Linked DNA regions of Cricetulus griseus. The protein of the gene in region 3 purifies or fractionates together with the protein of the main gene of each other region. This does not show direct contact. Links are inferred from orthologs where the notes say so. Each region holds a gene or a part of one and is shown on either strand. Other genes may lie near its edges. The genes, in order: Sugt1, Dyrk1a, Lrch3 and Myo6.

What was found.
Region 1: the proteins of Lrch3 (region 3) and Sugt1 purify together in Homo sapiens (co-immunoprecipitation; 3 studies listed by BioGRID and IntAct, counting the BioPlex papers as one, with this or other methods). This does not show direct contact. The link is inferred for Cricetulus griseus from reciprocal best matches to the Homo sapiens genes LRCH3 and SUGT1.
Region 2: the proteins of Lrch3 (region 3) and Dyrk1a purify together in Homo sapiens (affinity purification with mass spectrometry; 3 studies listed by BioGRID and IntAct, counting the BioPlex papers as one, with this or other methods). This does not show direct contact. The link is inferred for Cricetulus griseus from reciprocal best matches to the Homo sapiens genes LRCH3 and DYRK1A.
Region 4: the proteins of Lrch3 (region 3) and Myo6 purify together in Homo sapiens (co-immunoprecipitation; 3 studies listed by BioGRID and IntAct, with this or other methods). This does not show direct contact. The link is inferred for Cricetulus griseus from reciprocal best matches to the Homo sapiens genes LRCH3 and MYO6.

Annotation. Positions count from the first base shown.
Region 1 is NW_023276807.1:233,937,763-233,941,869, forward strand, and holds the start of Sugt1 (protein SGT1 homolog), read left to right. Parts: upstream 1-1,288; 5' UTR 1,289-1,412; coding exon 1,413-1,450; intron 1,451-1,537; coding exon 1,538-1,595; intron 1,596-4,107. UniProt on the Homo sapiens protein: May play a role in ubiquitination and subsequent proteasomal degradation of target proteins.
Region 2 is NC_048597.1:3,174,673-3,178,238, forward strand, and holds part of Dyrk1a (dual specificity tyrosine-phosphorylation-regulated kinase 1A), read right to left. Parts: intron 1,940-3,566; coding exon 1,319-1,939; 3' UTR 1-1,318. UniProt on the Homo sapiens protein: Dual-specificity kinase which possesses both serine/threonine and tyrosine kinase activities. Exhibits a substrate preference for proline at position P+1 and arginine at position P-3.
Region 3 is NC_048597.1:56,585,919-56,589,484, forward strand, and holds part of Lrch3 (DISP complex protein LRCH3), read right to left. Parts: intron 1,961-3,566; coding exon 1,816-1,960; intron 357-1,815; coding exon 230-356; intron 1-229. UniProt on the Homo sapiens protein: As part of the DISP complex, may regulate the association of septins with actin and thereby regulate the actin cytoskeleton.
Region 4 is NC_048597.1:191,195,252-191,198,817, reverse strand, and holds part of Myo6 (unconventional myosin-VI), read right to left. Parts: intron 2,991-3,566; coding exon 2,900-2,990; intron 2,232-2,899; coding exon 2,081-2,231; intron 106-2,080; coding exon 1-105. UniProt on the Homo sapiens protein: Myosins are actin-based motor molecules with ATPase activity. Unconventional myosins serve in intracellular movements. Myosin 6 is a reverse-direction motor protein that moves towards the minus-end of actin filaments.

The DNA.
Region 1 (4,107 bases), on a different chromosome or scaffold from region 3:
TCTGCCTCCCGAGTGCTGGGATTAAAGGCGTGTGCCACCAACGCCCGGCTTCTTTTTCTTTTTTTTTTTTAGTTCAGCTAACTGTATCTTCTCACCAGCTTACCCAGAAACCTGCACCTCTTTCAGTGTAGCGGCCAGCAGGCCCTGTACAGTCTCAAAGTCTCTCTCACACCTCCATTCTTAAAGTCAGTGGATTCAGATTCCTGTGCTTGACCTGTTACCTTCCATTAACACTTGTCTTTCCCCCTCAAACCACCCATTCACTGTACAGCTGGGACACGCCTACACTTTAAACTTTTTTAGCATTCCACACCGCTATCTCTTGATGACTCGGCACGTACTTAGTTCACGTGCCCTTCCATTTCTCCAGCTTGAGCATGGGCTCACGTTTCCTTCTATTTTCAAATTCCACCCCCGTTATCTGTTGCAGCTGCAGTGATTCTTTTTAGACATCGACCACCCTCTCATTCGTTTTGTAAAACGACTTCCGGAGCTCTGAAATCAAGTCTGGGGCAGCGGGTACTTTAATTCTGTTCCTTGCTCTACTGAGCCACTCACGCCCACTCCCTCCTGTGGCCCGTTACCACTTCGCCTCAAACAACGCACAGGAAGCTTCCCAGTCTGACGTTTGGCTCTAAGGGCGGCGAGGGTGGGAGGGGAGGCCTGGCCCGTTAGTTAGCACGCGAGGCACCCCTAAGACAATTTAGGCCAAGTTTCATTCGCTCGCTGCCTGCAAAACAGGCTTTTCTTGGTTTGGAAGGCCGAGCAGGAAGGAAGTTTGGGGTGTGGAGCGCTAGGATCCGGCAGCGCCTGCGGAAAACCCCGTTCTCCCCGTCCGTAAAGCCACTTCCGGCGAGCCGGCCTGTCGGAGCTCCCCGCTGACGGTCGTACGAACCGACGCGCCATAGCCGGCTCCGCGGCCGGAAGAAGACCTGGCAGCGACGGATGACGTCACGCACAGCTTGGCCGCCCGCGGCAGCCATGTTGAAAACCAGAGAAAACGGTGCTTAACGTGGCGCACCTTAGCGGAGCCGCGAACTCCCCCGACGGGTCCCGGCGCCTGGCAGCGCCGCTTGGAGACCACGCTAGAGCTCCCGCAAGCCCTGCGGAACCCCTACGGGCGGACGGCGGGGCGCCGGCGCCATGACCACGCCCCCGGGGCGGGACCTGGCGCGCGTCACCGACACGGGGCGGGGCCGGGGAGCGTGTCCTCCTCGTTCCCAGCGGGCCCCGCGCCCATCTGCCCGCCCTCCGCTTCCTTTTCCGCGGCCGCATGCTGCGCGGCTGCTGATTGGCTGCCGAGGACGGAAGCTCTGTTGGTGTGTCTTCAGAAGTTTCCCCCCCCTGGGCCGCGGCAGAGGTGGTAACCAAGGTAGAAAACGCTCGGGCCGAAGCTTTAGTGGCTCTTAGGGATGGCGGCACCTGCAGCAGGATCTGCAACGTCCCAGCGGTGCGTATTTTTCCTCCCCTTTGCTGTGTGTCTTGCTGTTCTTTCCTTGGTTAGTGAGCCCTGCTGAAGTCGTTGTTTTCCTGGCAGGTTTTCCCAGAGCTTCTCAGATGCTCTGATCGACGAGGACCCCCAGGCGGCGTTAGAGGTGAGTGAGTTCATTTCTGCTCCGTTCGCACTGGGATTGTTGGGTTCCTACCGACTCCGCTGCTTCCCAGCATTACCTTCGTGGGACTAAAGCTACAATTTTCAGTGTGTCTCAGGCCCAGTATTATGGTCGTGAGATCCATTTCTTTGTCCCCCAGCGACCCTTTTGCCATAGATCTTGCCTTTATACTCCCCAGACGCAGGCACATAGTTGCCACCTGTGGTTGGCCTGAAACGACTTCATTTATTGGCGTTTATGGTCAAGGAAAAGGCGAAGATAGGGCTTAATGTAGCATTTTTTTAGTTTTGACAGTTATGGTTGCCCAGGTACTGTTACGAGTACTTGATTGACTAAGTTTACTAAAGAACATTTACTTTAAAGATGGTTGTCCTTGTTCTTCGTACAGTTTAAAAAAGAAACGCGTTTATATATACCTATGCTGTCCTTAAACTTTGGATCCTGTGATTTCTTGAGATGCACCACTAAGCCCCGCCTTTTTTTATTTTTTAAAAACTTTTTGTTTGTTATGTATACAGTATTCTGCCTACATGTATGCCTGCAGGCCAGAAGAGGACACCACACCTCATTTCAGATGGTTGTGAGCCACCATGTGGTTGCTGGGAATTGAACTGGGACCTTTGAGAGAACAGGCAGTGAGTGCTCTTACTGATGAGCCATCTCTCCAGCCCATGCCCTGCCTAAATTTTTATAATGTTGTATGAGTTGTTTCTGGGCTATTTTTGGTGAATTCTAGAACAAACTATCTTTGTACGGATGTTGCTAAGAGCAGTGGCCAGGCTGGAGAGAGTCGTTAGCATATGTCAGTATGGTGGGGAAGGCCCTGTAATCCCAGTACTCAGGAGGAATGTACAGGGGTCAGAAATTCAAGGTCATCCTCAGCGACATAGTGAGTTGAGGCTATGAGTTGGATGTGTGAAACCCTGCCTGACCTTCAGAGCTCAAGAATCTTGCTAGGAAGGGGGAAACATTTTTACATCCCGAGACTTAAAGAAACCGCTTTTCCAGAGGCTAGCAGACTAGTAGAACTATATAGTTGTTTGAAAGTTTCAAGTTTGGTTTTGTATTGTTAGGTTCACCGAGTGATCATCAGGTGAAACAGATAATTCGGTTCCAAAACAAGGGATTAGCAAACTGGGTGGTAGTGGTGCATGCCTTTAATCCCAGCTTTTGGGAAGGACAGACTGGAAAGAGAGATCTCTGTGAGTTCAAGTACAGCCAGGACTATGCAGGGAAATTCTGTCTGGAAAAACAAAACAAAACCAAACAAAAAGGCATTAATGACTTTGAGATTTAAGACTGGAAGCAAAATTTCTTTTCTGACAAAGGAAATAAATGAGAATATGGGGAGGACCGAGAACGGAAGAAATGATTGGGTGTTGGGTACAGATCTAGGCTGCCCCCAAAGTCCTAGGGTCATCGACAGATGCTGCTCCTTCCTGTGTATTCCATGTAATATTCTATAACTTCAGTGGCTTCCACACATTCTGGACTTATGTGTTAGTTTTTTCTGTTTGAATAAAAATGGGTAAAGAAATCAAAATAGATGCTCGTGTGTGAAAAGGGGGAGAAAGTTCATTCTAAACTGCCAAGGCAAAGCAGAGAAATAAGGGGTGTGTGTGTATGTGTGTAGGGGAATCTCCTGAATTTTGTGGGAATGGGTACTTGGGAGGAAGGGAGCCTGTGAGCTGGGGGGGGGGTGCTTGTAAGTAGGGAGTGAGGGAGCCTAGCGTTGACCTTGACATGCTAACTGGTGCCACATATGTCCCTTTCCCAGAGATACACAGAATAACTACTTTTAGCATGTAGGAAGCCTCTGAGGGAATGCTATCTTTTGTCTAAATGCCAGCTTTGGGGAAAGATATTTCTTTGGGGACCTGATACTGTTTCTGATCATCTTTATTTTACTGTATTAATGATACAGTAGCCAGAATGACAACTTTAAAATATAAGTTGGGTCATGTCACTTGTACTAAAACTTTCCATGACCTTCCCTCACACTGAAGGTCCAAATTCCTTATAATGGCTGGCAGGGTCTCTGGTGAGCTGGACTCTATAGAGCTGTACTGTTGCAAGTGCTTCTAACTCAGGTCTACTTCTTTTTCCCAAAAATATACTTGACCTATATCTCATTTTTTACCTGGGAAGGTTTATTTCTTTAGAATTCACCTCAAGTGAACCCTGCTCAGAGGAACTAGCTTTCCTGTGTAAATCTGAATTAGGCATGAAAGTAGTTTCGAAGCCCAGTGTTGGTTGTCCACACCTTTAATCCCAGCACTCAGGAGGCAGAGGCAGGTGGATCTCTGTGAGTTTGAGACCAGCCTGGTCTCCAGAGTGAGTGCCAGGATAGGTTCCAAAGCCACAGAGAAACCCTGTCTTGGAAAAACCAACAACAACAACAAAAAAAAGTAGGAGTTTTGTGTATCTTGATTACTCCTCTGTTCTCAGTGTAGCACTTGGTACTCGTGATGGGCAAGCTCTTCTGCATGATTCT
Region 2 (3,566 bases), about 53 Mb from region 3:
ATCTATGTGCTATAAAAACAGCTTTGGTACAATAAATTATCAAAAAAGAAAATAAATTTTTGTAAAATTCACAGCATAATTGTGAGGCAAAAAAGCAGTCACATAAAATTCTGCATTTTAAAATGTTCAGGATGAACAGAAGACGTCTTTGTGCAGAAGAAATGGTGAAGACACCACGTGCCGAGAAAAAGCCAAAGAAAAGGTAAAAAGCAGGAAGGGCACAGCTGTAGCTATTTCCATCAAAGCAAACCACTACATCTGTGGCCTTCAACCAATAAGGGGTCAGCTTTATGACACACGCAAAGTGACCTTGCAATACCTTACAATTAGTGGGTCACAAAAGTCTATTTTAAAAGAAAGGCCTCTTGAATTACCCATTCTCTGTGTTTTCAGGGTTAAGGACTGTCTGCAAACGCATGTCCACAAGTGATTGTATCTGAAATGGTAGGCTCTTCTAACTTCGAGTCCAAATCCATAAGGCCAAAGGTCATCCCAAAGACCACCACTCAGACCTCCCCAGGACTGGCCACAACTGACCCGCGCGGTGTTGCTTCTCAGTGCACCTTGCTGAGGAGACCAGTCCTGTTCCATTCCCATCTTCCCGGGGCCTCTCCAACAGGAAGGAGACCCACAGGATCCCATGGGATTGCTGCTTCGCTCCTCGGTGGGTTCAGATAGGAGAGTCCTGGTCCCCGCCACTTAGCATGCTTAATGTGCCTTACAAACTCCAACACAATCGTCCCTTTCACATAGCTGAAGATGGTGTTTGTGTGAGCTGGAGGTCCCTCTTCCTTACAGTACTGCATTTCCGTGCCCAAGTGTATAGAGGACATAAAAACCCTTATTTCCCAGCCCACCCCAACCCCAAACAAAACAAAACATGGGGAAAAGGAGAAAAATAAAAATGAAAAAAAAAAAAAAAAACCAAAAAAACAAAACACCCTTATGGGGCCCTTTATGCAAATTATGTGCAGTGCCTTTTTATTTTAAAATTAGTTGGCAAATGACCAAGACCAACATCTGAACATTTAACTTTTGTTGGATAGAAAGACAAACCCACTATGACCGGGAGATGGCAGGTTAAAAGGGGGGACAAAAAGAGGGCACCTGGGAGCTCTCCATGAAGACAGGTGGACATGGCTCTGAAAAACTTCTCTGTCCCTTTGCAATCTTTTCAAGTTAAAAAAGTCAGCTTTGCCCTCTTGTAGCGGTTCAGTGTGTTAATCTCCTTCTGATTCAAGCAGCTTTGCACTTTGTTTTTGGGAAAAACACCACTTCTATAAAAACACACAAGAAACAAACTCAAGTTTCAATGTAGTCACGAGCTAGCTACAGGACTCTGCTGCACACAAACTCCTGTCATGGGAGACTCTTCTCTATCAGCCCCCTGCCTCATCGTCAGGTGTCCTTCAGTCATGTAATGTGCAGGGCCTGTGTTAGCGGAAAATTGGTATGTTGGATGTCCAGCTATGCCAGTCTCTTGGCGGGGATTGGAGTAGACGGTTAAGTTAACGTCCATAGCTCCATTCTGTCCAAAGTCCAAGGCGTTAGCAGCCACTGGGCGGTTCTGATAGGCCTGGTTGCCTTGATTACCAGTAGAGGAGGAAGATGTGGAGGAAGAAGTCGTTGAGGAAGACAGGGATGTCATGGAGTGGTGGCTATGGCCAACCTCCATAGAATCCTGGGTAGAAGAGCTATTTGTTGGAGAATTGTAGACCCTTGGCCTGGTCCGGTTACCCAAGGCTTGCTGTCCATGGTGGTGGTGGTGGTGGTGGTGGTGGTGGTGATGATGGGAGCTGTTTCCATGGTGATGATGCAATGCGTTTTGCGGAGGGCCTACATGAAAGGTTGTTTCTTGAACAGGATGAGTTTCAACAGTGACTTGTGTAGGAGCTTCAGTGCCTGACCAGCCCAGAGGAGCCGGGAATGGCTGGCGCACCTGTGAGGGAAGACATTAAGGAAGGGTTATTCAGCACTGCTTCCAAGCTTAACCTACACCTGAGCATCTGCACTCAGGTGGGTGAACTTGGGGTTGGTGGCGGTGGGGGTTGTTGAAGCTTTTAACACACTAGATAGTTCTATACCATAAAATTCTATGTAAATTCCAGAGCAAAAAATGTTTTACAATTAAAATCAGCCAATTTTAAGAAGTTACACTCATGTCCAGGTCTCCATGTCACCGTCTACACCAGGTCAGTAAGCTTTCTATAAGGAACCACCAGGACATCTGGCAGGTCCATGAGAGCCTTCATTTCCCCTTGAAGTCCCTCTTCCTTCCAGATCTCTTGATACAATAAAAGGACTCGTATCCACCCAGATGTCTGACAATTCCTCCGGACTCAACCCAGCATGAAGTACCAAAGAGATACCTCAGACCAGATCCCAAATCTGACCACTTTTCTTACCGCCATCACCACTACCACTTAGCCTAGGCTAATGCAAAGGCCTCTTCACAAAATAAAAAATTTAACACCCCCCCCCGCCCCCCCGCTTCCACAGTTGTTCTTCTCAACCCATTGAGAAAAGCAAGACTATCCTTTCAAAACAAAAATCAACTCATTCCTTTACGGACTTGGATCCCAATCTCCCCAGACCCTTCTCACCCTGACCTGACCTGAGACTCATGGCATCTGCACTTGCTGCTTTCTCCCATCAAGAGCACGTTTATTTCTAATCTTTGCTTACATTCCCCTTTTAAAATCGCCATGTCAGTTCCTGAGTTCCCGGATGTTCTGACTCATGCTGCCCCAGCCCTCTGTGGCCAGGCTACTGATGTGCCCCTCTATGTACAACATGACTGTACCGGACTCTCCAGCCCCCTTCATGCTGGGCACAGCCATCAGCACAACTGTGGCTGAAATGAGCGTGACTTTAGATGTCACTCACTGTATCTAGTGCAGTTAGGTCTGTCTGCTGGGCACCATGGCCTGGGCAGCTGACCTGAGGGCACGTGGAGTCACACGGGGGCGACACAGCAGTGCTCTGGACACTGCATCAGCTGCTTCTCTGTTACACTCAAGGAGGGAAAACTCTTGCATCCTCTCAGATTTACTCAGATAGTGTGCAGTTAGTCTGTTAGTCACTATACCTCACGAGCCTTGGCTGCCTGCACTGGAGTCTGCACTGCCCAGGGCTTTGCCACCACCATGAAGGTAACTCCCCAGAGGCGCACACCTCTAGACTTTCCCTTTCTGTAAGTATCACTTGCCATTTTTGTGTTTTGCTGCTTACTTGTGTCAATGTAACCTCTGAAAAGGCAAAAGCTGTCTCTACCACTAGTTTAGCACAAAATGTTAAGTTCTTATTTAATAAAAGTTACATGGGAATGAAAAGTCCTGAAAATCCAGTAGGGGAGGACAAAACTGGAAGATAATCTCACAAAAGAAAATGCAGGTTGAACATCCTTACTCTGGTATGAAACACTTGAAATGAGAGCATTTAACAATTTCAGATTAGGGACATTCAACTGGTAAAAAGTGAACAGCTACAGCAAAATCTAAAAGAACTGAAATCGAAGTGCTTGGAGTCCCAGCACCCTCAGATAAGGAGTACTTGATACTGCCGTC
Region 3 (3,566 bases):
TGCCTCAAAAATTTAGTAACACAGAAATCATTTAATGCTAGTTAGAAAATAACCAATGACATGTCCCCATTTTCTGTGGAGATATTAAGACTTGTACATTTAAAACTTACTTAATTATATTTCAAGCCAAAGCTATAAAATTATTTTCAAAACAATCTTAGTATTCAATTTTTATCATAGAGAAGACTGCAGACATGTTGGACAATCAAAAAATAAAATATTAACTTACAAGTTCCGTCAAATGTCTGAGATGTCCAATTTCTTCAGGAAGTGAGACCAATTTGTTATTACTAGCAATTAAGACTTTCAATGGTAAATTACACAAGTGTACTGGCAATGTTGACAGTTGGTTCCGACTAAATGAGTAGAGAAAGAGCAGTCAGACACCACTGATAAAAAAGTTTCCATCTTTGTCATTTTAGATACAAAAATAAGTCTTAGAAGGAACAAATAGGATACTAGATTTTAGTTCTTGTCAGTTTAATCAGTTCCCAGCTGACTAAACTTAAAACAGATAACAGGAATTTTTGTTTATTAAAAAAGAAAATCAGAAACACAAAATAATAAAGCACAACTATCATTAGTACAAAAACAAATTAAAGTTTACTTTGTAAATTTAACCCCATAATAATTCTTTTAGGGTCAAGTCTTTCCCCATTTTCTTTTCTTTTTTTGGAGCCTATCCTGGCACTCCCTCTGTAGACCAGGCTGGCCTCGAACTCAGAGATCTGCCTGCCTTGTGCCTCCTGAGTGCTGGGATTAAAGGTGTGGGCTACCAACGCACGGTCTTTCCCCATTTTCAAGATCTTTTTTGTTCAATAATATAGTTAATGGACTTTAAAAAAAATTTTAATTGAATAATAATTCTATTCCTACACATGCTTATTAAGAAAAGGTTAACATTTACATGCAAATTTCTCTAGTAGTGCTATTTTTAACATGATTTTAAAAACTTCTAGAACTAAATATCTGAACAGAATGAATTCTATTTTTTATGTTTTACTTTTATTTTTAATTAAGCATGTATGCATATGTTAGAGAGGTGGGTCTAAGCACGTTGAGTACAGCACCCAAAGAAGCCAGAGAGGGCACCAGATTCCCTTGGAGAAGCAATTTGTGAGCTGCCTGACTAGGATGCTAGGAACTGAACTCAAGTTCTCCGAAAGAGCAGTATAAGCTTTTAAATACTAAGTCATCTCTCTAGCCTCAGGAATGGAATTTTTTTAAGGCATATAAACTGGGCACTTCTAATGTCCAACAAGATGGCTCAGTGGGTAAAGGCACTTTTTTACAAGAATGGCAAGCTGAATTCAATCTCTAGAACCCACATAAAAGTGGAAGTAAAGAAGTGATTACACAGTTGTCCTTTGCCTCTGTATGTGCGTTACAGCACAAACCCAAATACTCACATTATATGCACACACAACAAAAACACCAAAGTAGTGTGTTTTGCTGGGGACTGAACCTAGAGCCTTGTGCACACCATGCTCTTACCAGCTAAGCTGTATCCCACCCAGTCCATCAGATGTAGTATTTTCTTGAAGCTAATTTGAAAATGTAACTGGAGAACCATGGCTGCAAGACTTCTACAAGCCTATTAAGCTAATGGCTAGCAGGGTCTGTTAACTATGCAAAGCTAAAAATAAAGGGAGAAACAAGAGAAACGAGGGAGAAACTGTCATAATATCCTAAGAACCTATTAGAAACTGCTGGTGTGAACAGGTACCATAAATAACTGTAAACATTTTAGTGACAGAGAGGTTCAAAATTAAAGATCATATAAAACCACTTTTTCTGAAAGAATACTATTCTTACCTAATATTTAAGAACGTCAGAGCTTGTAAGTTTAGAATGGCCTCTGGGATATATCGAATACAATTCTGGTACAGGTTAAGACTTTCCAGAGAAACAAAGTGACACGCTTCCATAGGAATTTCTGAGAGGCGATTTCGTGACAAGTCTGAAAGAAAACAGAAAAACTTAAAACAATTTGGAACTTGTTTTACTGAAATTCATTAGTATGCTTCATAGTAACTTGAATTCGCCAGAATTCTTATTGTGGAAACTGGTTCAACATAAACTTTAAAATATTGATTAGTTGTGTGAATAAACCACTAAGCACACGTCTTTAAACTGTTGCTGGGAAATGTTTCATTTTTACTTTCTACACACACTAAAAATAAAATCATTATTCTTTATAAGTAATACATATTCTAAGACATTGGCCATTCATATCAAAATTGTATCACTAAATTCCAATAACATCGGAAACAAGTGGATCCCTCCCCCAAAATCCACCTCCCAAGTAGATATTTGAGAGAGAGAAAGAGAGAGAGACAGAGAGAGAGAGACTGAAGCTACCCTGACATATTCATGGAGGCCAGTGGACAACTGCCCAGAGTAGGTTCTCTCCTTCCACCTTGGGACTCAGATCAGCTTGTCAGGTCTCGGCAGCATGTACCTTTTATCCTCTAAGCCATTTCCTCAGCCCAACTGTCCTACTCTTTACCAAAGAAATCATGATGCACCTGCTGTTCCCAAGCTGCTAACTTGGTTTCTAGGTCCTTTGAATTTGTCTTTGTATTTTAAAATGAACTTGTTAGATCTCAAAAAGGTGAACACTTTTTGAGTTTCCCAGGATCACCCCAATTCCAACAAGGTGGGAAGAAAATCCTAGGAGCATTGAACCTTCAGTCTAAAAGCACACACAGCTCATCTCCTCGGCAATGGAGCGTTGAATATAAGACAGCCTCACAATTTTCCTCAGGGATTGTACCAGACTTCTGGTATATTCCCAGATCCTATTATTTCATAAATGATGTACTTCTAATCACTTGCTACTCACATACAGAAGTAAAATAATTGTCATATGTTATTTTGTATCTGACAGCCTTGGTAAACTTTTAGTTCAAGTAACCTGTCTACAGATCCCTTCAGACTCTTTACACAGCTATGAATAATGGAGCCTTTGTTTCTTCCTCTGTGCTTCCCATTTATTTACGTAATTTCCTCACCCTGCTTGTTAGAACATCAGGCATAATGCTGAATAAAAGTAACAGTATCTCTTTTGTTTCTAATTTTAACCATTTTCTTTGTTGATTCTTCATAAAATTAAGAAAACCCTCTTAGTTTGCTAAGACTTTTTATAGGTAGTGGTTATTAAATTTATTAACAATTTTTCCTCCTCTATTGAGATGATCATATGATTTTTATATTTTATTACATTAATGAGGAATTTTCCTTATTAGCTTTTTTTTTTTTTTGTAAAGGTAAATGCATTAAGAAAATGTGAGCTTTCGGGGTAGTGGTGGCACTCGCCTTTAAATCCCAACACTCAGGAGGCAGAGGCAAGCAGATCTCTATGAGTTTGAGGCCAGTCTGGTGTACAGAGCAAGCTCCAGGACAGGCTTCAAAGCTACAGAGAAACCCTATCTTGAAAAACAAAACAAAAATAGTGAGAAAGTACTAACTCCCAGGAGTAAAAGGAGAGCCAAGAGAGGAATTCCCAGTTTTTACTTTATATTATGCCATCATTTTATTCTTTTTTTTGTTTTTGTTTTTGTTTT
Region 4 (3,566 bases), about 130 Mb from region 3:
CTCTTCTTGCTGTTTCTTTTTCTGCAGTGCACTGAGGAGATCTTCCGAGCTTTTAACTAGCGCATCATACTCTTTCTGTATTTGTTCCCTTGTCATCATGGTGGACTTAAAAAACCAAAGAACAAACATGTCCTTAAGAATCACCTCCTCTGCACAATGTGGATATGCTTAAACCACCGAACTGTACGCTTTAAAACGGACACAATGATAAGTTCAATGGTTTGGGGTTTTCACAAAAAAAATAAATAAATAAATAAATAAAATAAAATAAATAATAAAAACCTCTAAGATATATATAAATAGCTGGCAAAACTGATCAACAAAACTATGTTAATATCTTTTTTTTTTGCCGGCGTTGGTGGCGCATGCCTTTAATCCCAGCACTCGGGAGGCAGAGGCAAGCGGATCTCTCTGAGTTCGAGGCCAGCCTGGTCTCCAGAGCGAGTGCCAGGATAGGCTCCAAAGCTACACAGAGAAACCCTATCTCAAAAAAAAAAAAAAAAAAAAAAAAAAAAAAAAGATTTTTTTTTTTTTTTAAAACAGTTTCCCGTAGCCCAGGGTATCCTTGAACTAGCTATGGAGCTCAGGAGCCTCACAAACACTAGGATTATAGGTGTATACCATCGTGTCCAGCTAGTCACATATTCCTTGAAAATCTTCTCCACACATAAATACTTGAGTCTAGGTCCTCTCAAACAAGCCATCAATATCAGTAGCAGGCTGTGAGAAAAGCTGTATAAATGTAGCTTTAAAATATTTTTAAGGAATGACTATCTCCTTTAGCCAGTTTGCTTTCTTTACTTACACCATTCAATTAGTACCTAAGGAATGTTGGGAAATTACAACTAAACCTGTTGGATGATTTTCCTGGGTTAATTCTGATTGAAGCCAGTCTCACCTTTGATCTGTAAAATCAAAATCTACTTGTAGCATTTTCTTCCTTTTCTTCATTATTTTTTTCTTTCTACCTCTAATATTTAACCTGTCAACAGGAACTACAAAAGGCTTAATTTAAGTGCATTGACTTCTGAGTGCTACTTGAGAAAACCTGTAAAACACCCTAACATATAATTGAGGAAATTGAAATAAAGATGAAATGTGGTAACAAGCATTATAGAAAATATTTTTAGTCACATTGATATTCAAGCAATTGAAAAATCAAACCTAAAATTGCTCCACTTTCTCCTTTAAAAATGAAGAAAGCTAAGTGCTACTTTTAAAATAGCTAAGTAAATTATGAAGGTCATGTGTTAACCACAACAAATCATGTATCCTAACAGCAGAGGTACAAAGTGACACACATAATTATGATGGAGAACTATGTAAAAATGTATGCGTCCAAAGTATGATTATAAAGGAAACGGTAACACATATTATCTGAACGCTTAGTGTGCTGCTACAAAAGAGTGTTGGATGACTTTCGCTCCATTTTCAACACTGACACATTACTTTTATAATTTAGTAGTTTCATTTCCGGGACCTGAGGACGTAGCTCTGTAGAAGGGCATGCTCAATGAACTTTGCTCAAGACCCAGCACCTCCAGAAAGAAAAATAAATACAATAGAAAAAAATTTGTTTTGGAAAGTAGAAAAGCATAAAAGGAATTAATTTACATTAACCCTCCCTGGATAATGACTGTAAAAGCTTAACAACAAAGTTTTAGTATTTTAGTTACTCTCTACAGGGTAATATTTTGCCTAACAACAGACAAAAAAAATCACATATAGCCGGGTGTTGGTGGCGCACACGCCTTTAATCCCAGCACTCGGGAGGCAGAGGCAGGCGGATCTCTGTGAGTTCGAGACCAGCCTTGTCTACAAGAGCTAGTTCCAGGACAGGCTCCAAAGCCACAGAGAAACCCTGTCTCAAAAACAAACAAACAAACAAAAAATCACATAAAGATTATCTTTTTAATACAAAATTTTTTACATATTGAGAAAAAATTAATGTGGGTATCTACTTTTTAATGTTTCATATCTTGAATAAGTAAGTGTGTTTTCCTGCATAAAGTTCAATATCAATAACAAGAAACAGTAAATTATATAAAAAGTTCAAGTTAGCTAGATGAAAATGACCCACCTTAATTTTGGCCATCAAAGCATCAATAGAAATTTCCAGATCTTTGATTTGTCTGTTCACCTCTGGCTTCCCATCTTTCAATGCATTTACTACTTCATTGAACTTATCGAGTCGTTTCTTCAGGGTGCCCACCTTAACCAGGCCATCAATGCTGCAATAGTAAGGCTCCATCAGCTAGTTACCTCACAAACTAATGTTCTAGGAGGACTCTCATTGCTAAACAGTGAACACTGCGGCTACACGGGCAGGCTACTTCTGTCTTCAATATTGTTTAGTAGTCTGTTCAGGTCTCTCATTAAGTATGAAAAGAATCAAATACACATAGGATTAGCATTGATGGCCATCAATAACATGGAGGCCAGCTATATTTAGACAGAAAAATGAGGATTCATTGAAATTATAAACTCAAATGATCCAACATTTCTTTGAAAAGGTGTGGTGTCAATAGCTATCCAAACTTCCAAAGTTTAAAAAGTAACCTGGCAATACAAATTTTAAGTAAGATGAAAATGAAATATGTTCAGTGAAATGACACACCAGCAAAGTAAGATTATTTTATGAACATTCCTGAAATTACCACCAGGCTGGTGGGTGTCTTCCAAAACAGCATCTAACTTGGCATTATCAAGAAACTCAAATCATACAGTAACCAGAATGGCAGTCTCTCTCGGTCTTTCATTGCAATCTTTAAGTGTTCACATGTCTGCCAGCCACTCAAACCCTGTGGTAGAACAGCAAGCTAAGTAACGAATGAGCGGATTCCAAATCCACAGCACAAACAAGCCATTTGTATAGATCTTCAGACACTGTTCATCTTACCGTGGTTTGTGTCTCCTTTTGCAAAGCCACATTCGAATCGTTTTCTGCATTTTAATGCACGCTTCAGCTCGATATTGTATTTTGTTTTTCACTATGTGTAAGAGTGAAATAAAATGACAGAAACATATTGGTTTAAATAGGACATAAATTAAAAACTCATTCATTCCCACAAAGCAATTCTCATAAAATCTTGATGTATATGTTATTCCAGTGATCAGAGGCAGGAAGTCTAAAGTTTCTTTAACTTCTTAAAAATAATAAAAAAAAAAGATGGATGTGGCTAGCACTCTATTTCAAATGTATTCTCAAGTGTGCAACACTACTATTAACAAACTTTTCTGTGCCATATTTCTCTTAAATGTTCTATTAAATATTATAACTTTCTTTAAAAAGTTAACCTGCCAAATGAGTTTAGGAAACAGAGTTTACTTCCTTCTGGAAATGCACTATAGACAAAGCCGAAAGCACTGAGCCTGTGGGAAACTTTCATATTTTACTTGGAAAATAATGGGAAAAGAGGTTCTGTTGTCTTTTTTTTTTTTTTTTTTTTTTTTTTTTTTTTTGGTTTTTCGAGACAGGGTTTCTCTGTGTAGCTTTGGAGCCTATCCTGGCACTCACTCTGGAGACCAGGTTGGCCTCCAACTCACAGAAATCCGTCTGCCTCTGC